Oryzias latipes: one gene and its partner. The protein of the gene in region 2 purifies or fractionates together with the protein of the main gene of each other region. This does not show direct contact. Links are inferred from orthologs where the notes say so. Each region holds a gene or a part of one and is shown on either strand. Other genes may lie near its edges.

Region 1 (5,026 bases), on a different chromosome or scaffold from region 2:
CAGAAAATACACCATAAAAAGAAAATGGGATCATCAAGTAAAATTATCCTAACAAATAGAATGACTGTTTGTTTTTCTAAGGAAGTCTATGGGATTTTGGCTTCTTGGGGCCATTGGGTACTGCCCATTTGAAGCATCAGGTGGTTGGGGGTGGGGGGGTTAGTTCCATTCTCTTATGTAGTTGATGGGTGTAACCCGTTTTTGTCCATCTGGGATAGGCTCCAGCAACATTGTGACCACAAAAGGGATTAAACAGGTTTAGAAGACGGATAAATGAATGGTTTGAAAACCTAAACAGTTCTTTGTGCTCATTTTTTTTTAATCACAAACCCTTTAACCTCCCTTTAAAAATACATTTATTGTCAACCTTCGACAGTACAAGTTACATTTTCCCAAACTTTACAACAAAACTTTCATTTCCCAGAATAAGAGCAACAATGAAACGTTTGCCAACTGCTGCTGATGCTGTCAACAATCTGTGGCATGAAGCTCAAGTTTCCGCCTCTGGGATCGTTTGTCTGTAAATCCTGCAGGGAAACGCGTGTCTTGTCTCATCTGAGCTTCGCAGCTATGGCTTCTGAACTCAGACAGATTTAAGTGGACTTAAAGCTAAAACATCATAGCATCCAGACCGTCCTCCATAAACTTCTTGTAGATGGCCATGAACTTGGCGGTAAAAGCCTCCAGGTGGTAGATAGCTTTGCTGCCCAGCTGGAGTCTGTGTTCATAATAAGCTGCCATGTGGGCCACCTCCGCCTTCAGCTGACCGTCACAGTTACTCAACAACTCCTTCACCAGGCCCTGTTAGATTATTAAAGGAACGCTTGATATAAGAACAGACCTTTGGTCATTTTAACACTTGTGATGGCAGAAACGCAGGGAGCGCTCACCTTCATGATGATTTCAGGAGGGATGCAGTGAGTCAGCAGCTCGTACAGCCGGGCGCGGACTTCCAACAGCCTAGAAGAGGAACAGGTGGTGATTGAGAACTTGAAACCTCACAGTCTGATTATCTCCTTAAAAAAACAAAACGTCAAACCTCTGAGGATTCTGCTGGCTGACGATGGCGTTCGCCGTCTCCCTCAGGTAGACCTCCCAGTCTGTCTCTGGGACTTCCTGATCAGCGGAGAACGGATACCTGAAGATTAAAAGAGTCCCATTTAGCGAACATGTTTAGTTTTTGTTTCAAATATAGACAGATGGGGTGACAACTTACTGCTGCACCCTGCAGGCCTCACACATCAAAAGCGCTTTGCGCAGGTTGCGGCCGGATTTTTCACTGATTTGTTTGGCCAGCTCAGGTGGCAAATTCAGACCCTCTTTTTTACAAACTGAAGTTAAAACACTGCAAACCTGGAAAAAGGAGGACATATTGCAGATGCAGACAAAACAGGGGGCAACTTTTTATTTTTATCTGAACCACTTCCTCCTCACCTCCTCTGTGCTCGGCAGAGGAACTCTCACAGCCAGACAGCGACTTCTGATTGGCCCGATGACTTTGGAGGTGGATGTGGAGCAGAGGATGAGACGACAGGTGGACATGTACTTCTCCATGGTTCGACGCAAAGCATGCTGGGCATCTTTTGTGAGTCTGTCCACCTCTGTTAGTATCACAACTAAGGAGAAAGATTTTTTTTTAGTTAAAACAAGAAATTAGGTTACAAAAGACAACAAAAACTATATTTTGGGACATTGCATTAGTTTTTAACCCATTTTTAACCCAAAACTTTATTAACAAAACTCAGCATTGATATATAGCATCAAAACACAGAAAAAGTTGACCAGAGGGGCAAAAAGAAGAAACAACAGTTGAAAAACAAGATAACAGAACATATTTTGATAAATCACAAAAATAAAAACAAGTTAAAAAAAAGGTTGAGCAGGGCTATATTTACATATATGAATTAAATCTTTGGCTAAATTAGGAATTAAATAAGTGGATCCAGTAAACCCCCAAACAATGTTTAGAACAGAAAGAAACATCAGGAATAATATTCTTTTTGCAGCAAAATATTGTAGTTTGTGTACAAGTCCAAACCCCTGCTTCCATCTCCAGGTTCCACTGAGACAAGGCTACGTTAGTCTGATTCACCTTTGAACTCTCGCTGCGTGCTTGACTGGATTTGCTGGGACTGAGCCACAGTTTTAATTAGCTCCTGGATCACCACACGGTCCTGATTTCCTGCATCACTGTACCACACAGAACAGATTAGTAGCAGAAACTCAAAGACAAGGCTGGAATAAAAAGTGTTAAAAAATCCAAACAAGATACTTTTGAAATTTTTTGGTCAAAAACAGTTACCTTGGGTTGACCTCCAAGTGATAGTTGCTGGCAATGGTGTTGATCTCAATTTTCTTCTTTGATGGGGCCTGTAGTCAAAAATCAGGAGATGCAACTATATTTAATAGTCAATACATCCAAATATAAATGTCTATATTGCTGGTAATTGGAGGTTTTTGTTCTCCTTGGTTCCTCCTCTCACCACTATGGTGTGGTGCTCTATGCGGAGCTTCTCCACCCCGGCTCCGTACAGCTCCCTCAGCAGACACATGATGCGGGTTTTCTTTCCAGCTCCTGAGGGGCCGTACACCAACAAGTGGGGAAAGTCTCCACATTGAACCTGCAGCCAAATTACACCAAATAGTTTGAGATTGTGTTTTTTTAGTACCAGTTTTTCTTAGACAACACTGGGTTATGATCCCTTGGGACATATAATGTCCAGCATTTGTTGGGCTTTTTTCTTTGATTTGTTTCATTTTGTTTTCTGGTTAAAGATTTGGTTAATTTTTTTCCCTATATATATATTTTTTTATTTTACTGTACAGTGTATGTTAAAAGGCGGTTGTATTTAAAGCATAGATAAAGATGGGGTAAATGTAACTGATAACGTGTCAGTCGTCGTTACTCTGATCTCAATTACAATTCAAGTCAATGACTTAATTCATGCGTTTACCCTTTGCAACGTAACTGAAAGGTTATTGTCAAGAATAGTAACTTTTCCAAACATGCATTTACAAAGTAACGCGGAAATAAGGAATTAAATTAATATTTTAAAAAAACGGTGATATAAACAAAACGAGGAGAGGAGGGAAAATAGCAGCTAACCAAACCATCAATCAACAACAGATTTCTTGAAGTTTCCTACCAGGTTTTTCAGCTGAGTAGCTTGTTCTTTATGATAATCGAGCTTCCCCAGAGAGGTCGGTCGATATTTGTCCACCCACAAACTCATTTTGTAAATAAAGTCTAGTAAATGTTGCTTTGACAACGAATAAGGCGTCAGCAGGTCAATCTCCCGCGAATTATTTCCCACTCGGAAGTTACCAACCGCGAGGTTTTGTTTTCTCGCGAGATACGGCAAACCATGAGGGTCTAAATAGAGTCAGCTCGGAAAACTACAGTACTGTCCAAAAATGATTTTATTTAAATCTTATGTCAAAACTCACCAAGACAACTCATAATTAGGCTACAAAACAATAACACAAGGACAAAATACTCTAATTTATCTATGTGCCAATTCATTTTTAAATTAGAAATAATATTTAAGGTAAAAAAATAAAAGAATGGAGTTTAAAGACCGACAAAATCGTGTTATTAGTCTTCATTCAACTTTGTTCTATGGCATCCAGAAAGCTGACTGGGACATGCATTTCTTTTGCCTGACCTCTGTAATGCCCACACAAACACGTTGTGTGTGCATACAACAACCTCAGAAGGATGAGACTTCTTGTTTTGAAATGACAATCAAGTATGTCTATGACAACAATTCAATGAAACCCAACGAGGAATGTGAAGCAGTTAATCCATTTTCTACTGTTTTATCCCTTTTGGGGTCACGGGGTTGCCACAATCACACACCCATTCACTCTCACACTCACACCTAGGGACAATTTAGAGTTGCCAATTGACCTATGAAGCATGTTTTGGACAGTGGGAGGAAGCCGGAGTCCCCGGAGAAAACCCACGCATGCACGGGGAGAACATGCAAACTCCACACAGAAAGGTCCCCCATTGATGTTCTGTTTCAGTTAATCCATAGGAAATAAAATGTCACCTTGTTACTGAGCACCCTCAGTTTTAGAAGGTAGGAGCTGGTTGCAGGTCATATTGACCCAAGTAAACCAGCATTTCCCCGCTACTGTCTGTGTCTCATTAATTCATAAAAGAAACACAGATTAGAAAAAGTAAATTGTGTAATTAAGAAGGCATTTTTATTTTTTCTTCCCACAATTTGCAGAGAGTTGCAGAATGTTAATTCCATGTTTTTGTCCTGCAGGAAAAACGCAAAAAGGACATACTTTGTGGCTTATTGGATTTACTACACATGAAGGTTTGTTGAGAAAATTGAGATTTTCTCAGTTTCTACCATAAACACGTTTAAGATAACTCGGCTCACATGTTTTGGTATGAAATTCCTTTTGCTAAGAGTCTTCATAATATTTTTTACATAATGTCCTTACTGCAAGCAATTGCTTGGAGAATATACGGTCATAAATCCGTATTTTTTTTCTCCTTTCTGCTTGGACGTTTGAAAATATAGGTCTTCTTCAACAAAATAGAGGTAAATAGGGCTCCAAGCAACAGGAATGTACTTTGCAATGCATGCCTTAACGTGTTAGCGTAGCTTGCATTAAATTACATGTTTGAGTTTTATTAACAAAGATCAATCATTATAATGATAAATTCAGGTCGAAGAACTGTAGAATGAGCCTCAAAACATCCAATGAGGTTTTTGAACATTACATTTCCATAATCAATGTAAGGCTTGATTCCAATTTTTTCTTTAATTGTTTAACTTTCTAATCATTCAAATCTATATTATGTGTGTGGCCCATTCACAACAAACTCCAACTCCAGTAATTCATGGAAAGTGAGGATTCAAGCCTCTAGTTTGGCTTATTTTCAGTGATGTTTTCTTGTTTCTTGTAATGTTCCGTGTCTCCTTGTAAGTCACATTAGGATCAAGTTTCTAATGTTCTGAATGCTTTTATTTTTTGAAAATGCATGCCAGTTAGGTCATTTTGT
Region 2 (4,880 bases):
AACACTCTTTTTGGGAGTTGTGCTTTGTTTTTCATCCGCGTTTTTACGAGCCTAAATGAAAAAAAGTTTTAAATGCTCATTAAAGGATTCCACTAAAGTGAAGATGTTCCTCTGGGATTGTTCTCAGTACCTTCTTGGCCTGCGGCTCCGAGTCCATCAAGGCGAGCGTCCTGGCAAACTCCTCATCCTCATGGACTTGTTTTTCCAGCTAAATGAAGAACAAGTGGAAAAAAAAAAATGAATAAGTTACGTCGAGAAGAAGTGTAGCGATCCAGTTCAGCATTTATACACCGAGAACAAATGACAATCTTAATAATAACATAAACATACGTATAGCTAAAATTTTTAATTTTTTTTTATTTTTTTACTTCTATTATTTTAAATTACATTTTTTTCAATTCAAATTTGACAATTTTTGTGCAATTTTTAAAATTCTATCCCTATATTCTACCAAAGTTGATGTTCTACTATCAGACACGGTTGTATTTTTTCACATAACTTACATGTTTCGACAGATGTCTTCTGTCTTTGTCAGAGTCGCTATTTATGTTTTCTATTCATTTTTCTGTTCCATTTGTTCTGTTTTCTTACACTTTTTTTTATTCCAGTCCTTTTCCTCATTGGGATCTTCTACACCTGAGGTGTTGGACTCGAGCCCTCGAGGGCCGGCAACCTGTTGTTCAGAAACCCTGAAATGCCTGTTGCCATGGTTACCTGAATCAGGTTTGTTTTGCCAATTAAAAGCTACAACGGCAGCTTGGATGAAAAAACAAGTAGGACACTGGTTAATGAGGCCTGGAGTCTATACCCGTGGTATCATTTGGAGTGAAGCTCTATGACGTTTCACATTTGATGTTTGGAGCCTTTTCAGCTGCTTTTGTATGAAAAGGATTTTATAAATAAAGCTTGATTGGAAGTGTTGGAAATCGAAAAGATAGAGTTTCAAACCTAGAGGAAGTCTGTGTTTTGATCCGAGCACTTTCTTTAGAGTGAACTCTAGGAGTAAACTTAGTGTACAGATTCCTGAATCACTAACTTCTGCTTCTGTTTTTACGCCGGAGTGTTTGATGATCTGCTCACCTCCATCTCTTCTTCCACCTGCAACTGTCGGGCGATTTCCTCATCACTTATCAGATCCTCAAAGTCTTGTGTTGGCTGGAAGACAGGAGTTATAGTGAAGCTGGATTGTTGTAAAACAAATGAGAGTCCTGAAAGCTGGAGGAGAAGAATGAGGAGGATTCATCAGCACTCACAGCTTTTCTCTTGGCGCTGGCTACCAGCTTCTTTTCTGAGCGATGAATAGCAGCACCGCCGAAATAATCCGCCACTGAGGTAGGAGTTAGTTTGGGTGGAGGTGGTGCAACAGACTTGGGGGTTGTGGGACTCTTTAGCCCAGATTTTCCTGTGACAGGAGAGGCTTTGGATCCTGAGCGAGAACGTTCTGCGTCCGCCTTATTGCTTTTAGGAGAACCGTTCTGTTTGGGTTTGGCTCCTTTCTTCAGCGACTGAAAGTTGTCGCTGTCCGAGTCTAAAAGCACAAAAACAGACGTCAGAAAATCGGCTTTTTAGCTTATTGAATCTGGAGGACGTTGGATGAAGAAAGGCCTCACCTGTTTCAGAGACGTACTGCACTGGGTCTTTTTTAGGAAGAGGCTCTGCTTTGCTGCTCGTCGATTTAGAAGATTTCTTAGACTTTGTTGCAGGTTTCTCCTCTTCTTCTGAATCTGAACAAAACAACAAGAATTTATCCTTCAAGCTTTTTAAAAATAGGATCTGAAATAATATTTACCTTTTAGCTGTTTTAAGTCAAGGATTCACAATTTCCTTTGACACTAAAATAAAATGTTGATTTTATGAAGGAACTTCATACCTTCTTTAAAGGTAAGTAAATCATAATAGGGCTGTGATTGTATAAATTCTGCCTTTAAAGCTATTTTAAACTATTATTTAATAATCCTATTTAATGTGTCATGTGTGTCATACTGTATGCATACGTGCAACTATGTTTATTTATGATTAGGAGTAATTATAATGTCAAGACAATAGCATAATCTTCTTTTATTTTCTAATGAACTTGTGGTTTGGTAGGTAGGTTTGGTATAACTATGTATGTTTATTTCTGCTTGATGCTTCCTGCATCACATATGAACCTCTCAGCCAGCCTCTCACTTTTTCTTTGACATTATTATATAGTGATGCTGAGAGACACTGCACCACTCAAAGACATATTACACTCGTTGTTCACCTTTTGACACATCCTGTCAGAGGTCGCTGCTGCGAATCAGCTTTCACTGAGTCACACATTTGGTTTGGCAGAGACTTTTTTTTAGGCCGGATGCCCTTCCTGACACAACCCTGTATTTTATCCGGGCTGGGGACCAGCACAGGGAGACCTGGAGTTGGCCCCCCATCCAGTGCTGTTAAATCACAGAGGTCATCTCGTGACTTTAAGCCACGCCCATTAGGTCATCCAGAGTCTTTCCTACCTGATGCTATGACAGAATACTTCTTGCGCTTTTTCTCACTGTCTTTGCGTCGCTCCTCTGTTTTGGAGCTTTTGACCTACATGAGATAACACAAGAGAAGCTCAAAATCCCAAACATGTGCAGGAACAGCACTTAGTGTAGAAGTAAAAATGAAAACACAAGAGTATCAACCTTGGTTCTTTTCACATCAGAGGAGTTGAGGTTCTTCTTCTCCTCTGCTTTGGTGTTTGGCGCTGGTTTCTGCACCGCAGGTTTCCCTGATGTCGGTCCAAAGAACCGCCTTATATCCTGAATGCAGAAGCAAAGGAACTTTGAGGCTATTTTAACAAATCAATAATCTGTACTTCAGTGTGCAAAAAAAAAATCCCTGCATCTCTTCAAGGATTAATTAAATTTAAACTACAAATGTGCGGATTTAATTATTAAAACATCCGGTAAATTATAGCTGCTGTGCAATAACCTGTTCCTATATTAAAATAAAAAATGTAGGTCAACAAGTCAATTGTCTTAAAACTGTTTTAGCTAACCCACAGCAGAAGCGCGCGACAACATCTGCTTAGCATCCAGTTTCTCCTCAATGTCAGACTTTGCTCACATGCGTTCGCTTTCTGTGTGAGGTGGAAACCATAACGGTGTGTAACATACCATGTTGGAGATAATTCCACAAGGAAACCTCACAGTTTGTTATCAGCAAAATAATAAAAACTCCCAACTACTTGGCGCCAAGTCTGCAGTCGCTAGGAGATGACGCACCGGATGCTGGCTGCGTCACTGCGTCATCCAACCAGCGTCTTGAGAAATTCATCACACATACATTTAAAATCATTTTAGACAAAACTTCTCATTTGAATATAAACGTCTTTCTGCCGCTAAAAAGATAATTTAAGTGGTTTTCTAGCTACATCTTAGTTGATAAATGATCTGCACCAAGTTAACTTTAAAGATTTATTTAAAAAAAGTAAAAATGCTTTTGACATTTTCATGTGTAGTAAAGCTTGTTTTCCCTTTCTTTTAAAGTGCCTCATAAACAGTTTCTCACTTTTATTTTCAGTCCAGTCAATACAAATCTCTCCTCACAAATAAGCCTGCGTATACTTTCTATTGTGTATTTATAATTCAGCTTTACACTAGAATAAATATAAAGTTTGAAAACGGTACAATAGAAAAATTATGTCCAGAATATTAGGAGGCAAGATAAACAATTCATTGACATGGCTGGCCTCTAAATTGAAGACATTTTTAGCTGTTTACAGAGGATTGTCAGATAATTTTTTTTTTTTGAAAGATAAAGGCCAATTTGAACACTTTTACAAAAAACATTCAACAATTCCTTCAGTATGTGTGACTAATTTTATACCTCTGACCAAACTTTACCACATTTTAGTTCAGATCACAACTGTTGTCTTTAATAAAGCTTTCATTAGATGTCGGCAACAAACGGAGCTCAGCTACTTTCAGATAAACAGCCTTAAATTAGGACTAAAATGGGCAGATGATGGAACTGCTCCACTTTGCTTCAGTGGATGACAGTCGAGATCACAAAACAGAAAGCTGGACAATTTATTTTAACCATAAAATGTATTTGTCACATTTCCGTCTGTCCAACATTTACAAAGACAACTCCATCTTATAACCAAAGGTTAATGTAAAATAAGACAGAAAATGTTTAAAATGACTTGATCCATGTAAATGATGCATGACGGAAACCAGTTTTCCCCCAAAGTTTTTGTGAAAATCATTCAATTTAAAGCTGTCCTTATATTTTGATAAATAATCCCTCACCTGCTTCTTTTATACTGTCACACTGATGAGTTTCTCAATACTCTCATTTTATGTCTTTAGGAACTTTGGATCAAAGCCGAGTCCAGTTTTCTGCTAAAACCTTCTTGATGACTTAAACCTTAAATGCACAGCTTTCTCTAATCAAGCAAAGAACAATTACACAGACAACAAGAGATCAATCGAGCTGGAAAAAGGTTATTTTATTGGTCATAGCAGAATCTGAACATTTATTCACTGGCTGACTCCACCACAGTGGTCCTTTCGCTCACATAGATGCCGTCCAAGAACTTCCTGATGTCCTTCTTCCTCACTGTGGTGGCCTGCTGGATCAAAGCCGCTGCAAAGAGAGAAACAACAAGCGGAGAGCAGAGCGTGAGAACGGGAGCTGTGAGCGGCATGCAGGCCGTGTCTGTGTGGGAGTAACTTCCAGTACCCTGGTGTGTTAGACAATTATCAGTAAAGTGGTTGGTTAGTCACAGGGAAAAAAAAGACAGAAATAAAAGTAAAAAGCAAGAATAATTAAAGAAATAAATAAAAAAGCAGGAATAGTATCCAGAGAAGTAATAAGCATGCAGTCAGACGGCGATGTCTAACCTCTACAAGTGCAGATGT

What was found. Proteins that work in one complex are often made in the same cells at the same time.
Region 1: the proteins of rfc1 (region 2) and rfc3 fractionate together in Homo sapiens (co-fractionation; 4 studies listed by BioGRID and IntAct, with this or other methods). This does not show direct contact. The link is inferred for Oryzias latipes from reciprocal best matches to the Homo sapiens genes RFC1 and RFC3.

What each region holds. Positions count from the first base shown.
Region 1 is NC_019872.2:9,959,972-9,964,997, forward strand, and holds rfc3 (replication factor C subunit 3), read right to left. Parts: upstream 3,347-5,026; 5' UTR 3,234-3,346; coding exon 3,147-3,233; intron 2,622-3,146; coding exon 2,484-2,621; intron 2,371-2,483; coding exon 2,303-2,370; intron 2,191-2,302; coding exon 2,093-2,190; intron 1,617-2,092; coding exon 1,435-1,616; intron 1,354-1,434; coding exon 1,217-1,353; intron 1,139-1,216; coding exon 1,040-1,138; intron 961-1,039; coding exon 891-960; intron 802-890; coding exon 610-801; 3' UTR 340-609; downstream 1-339. UniProt on the Homo sapiens protein: Subunit of the replication factor C (RFC) complex which acts during elongation of primed DNA templates by DNA polymerases delta and epsilon, and is necessary for ATP-dependent loading of proliferating cell nuclear antigen (PCNA) onto primed DNA.
Region 2 is NC_019859.2:13,023,235-13,028,114, forward strand, and holds the start of rfc1 (replication factor C subunit 1), read right to left. Parts: upstream 3,262-4,880; 5' UTR 3,135-3,261; coding exon 3,132-3,134; intron 2,775-3,131; coding exon 2,658-2,774; intron 2,563-2,657; coding exon 2,487-2,562; intron 1,725-2,486; coding exon 1,611-1,724; intron 1,529-1,610; coding exon 1,254-1,528; intron 1,156-1,253; coding exon 1,081-1,155; intron 209-1,080; coding exon 131-208; intron 52-130; coding exon 1-51. UniProt on the Homo sapiens protein: Subunit of the replication factor C (RFC) complex which acts during elongation of primed DNA templates by DNA polymerases delta and epsilon, and is necessary for ATP-dependent loading of proliferating cell nuclear antigen (PCNA) onto primed DNA.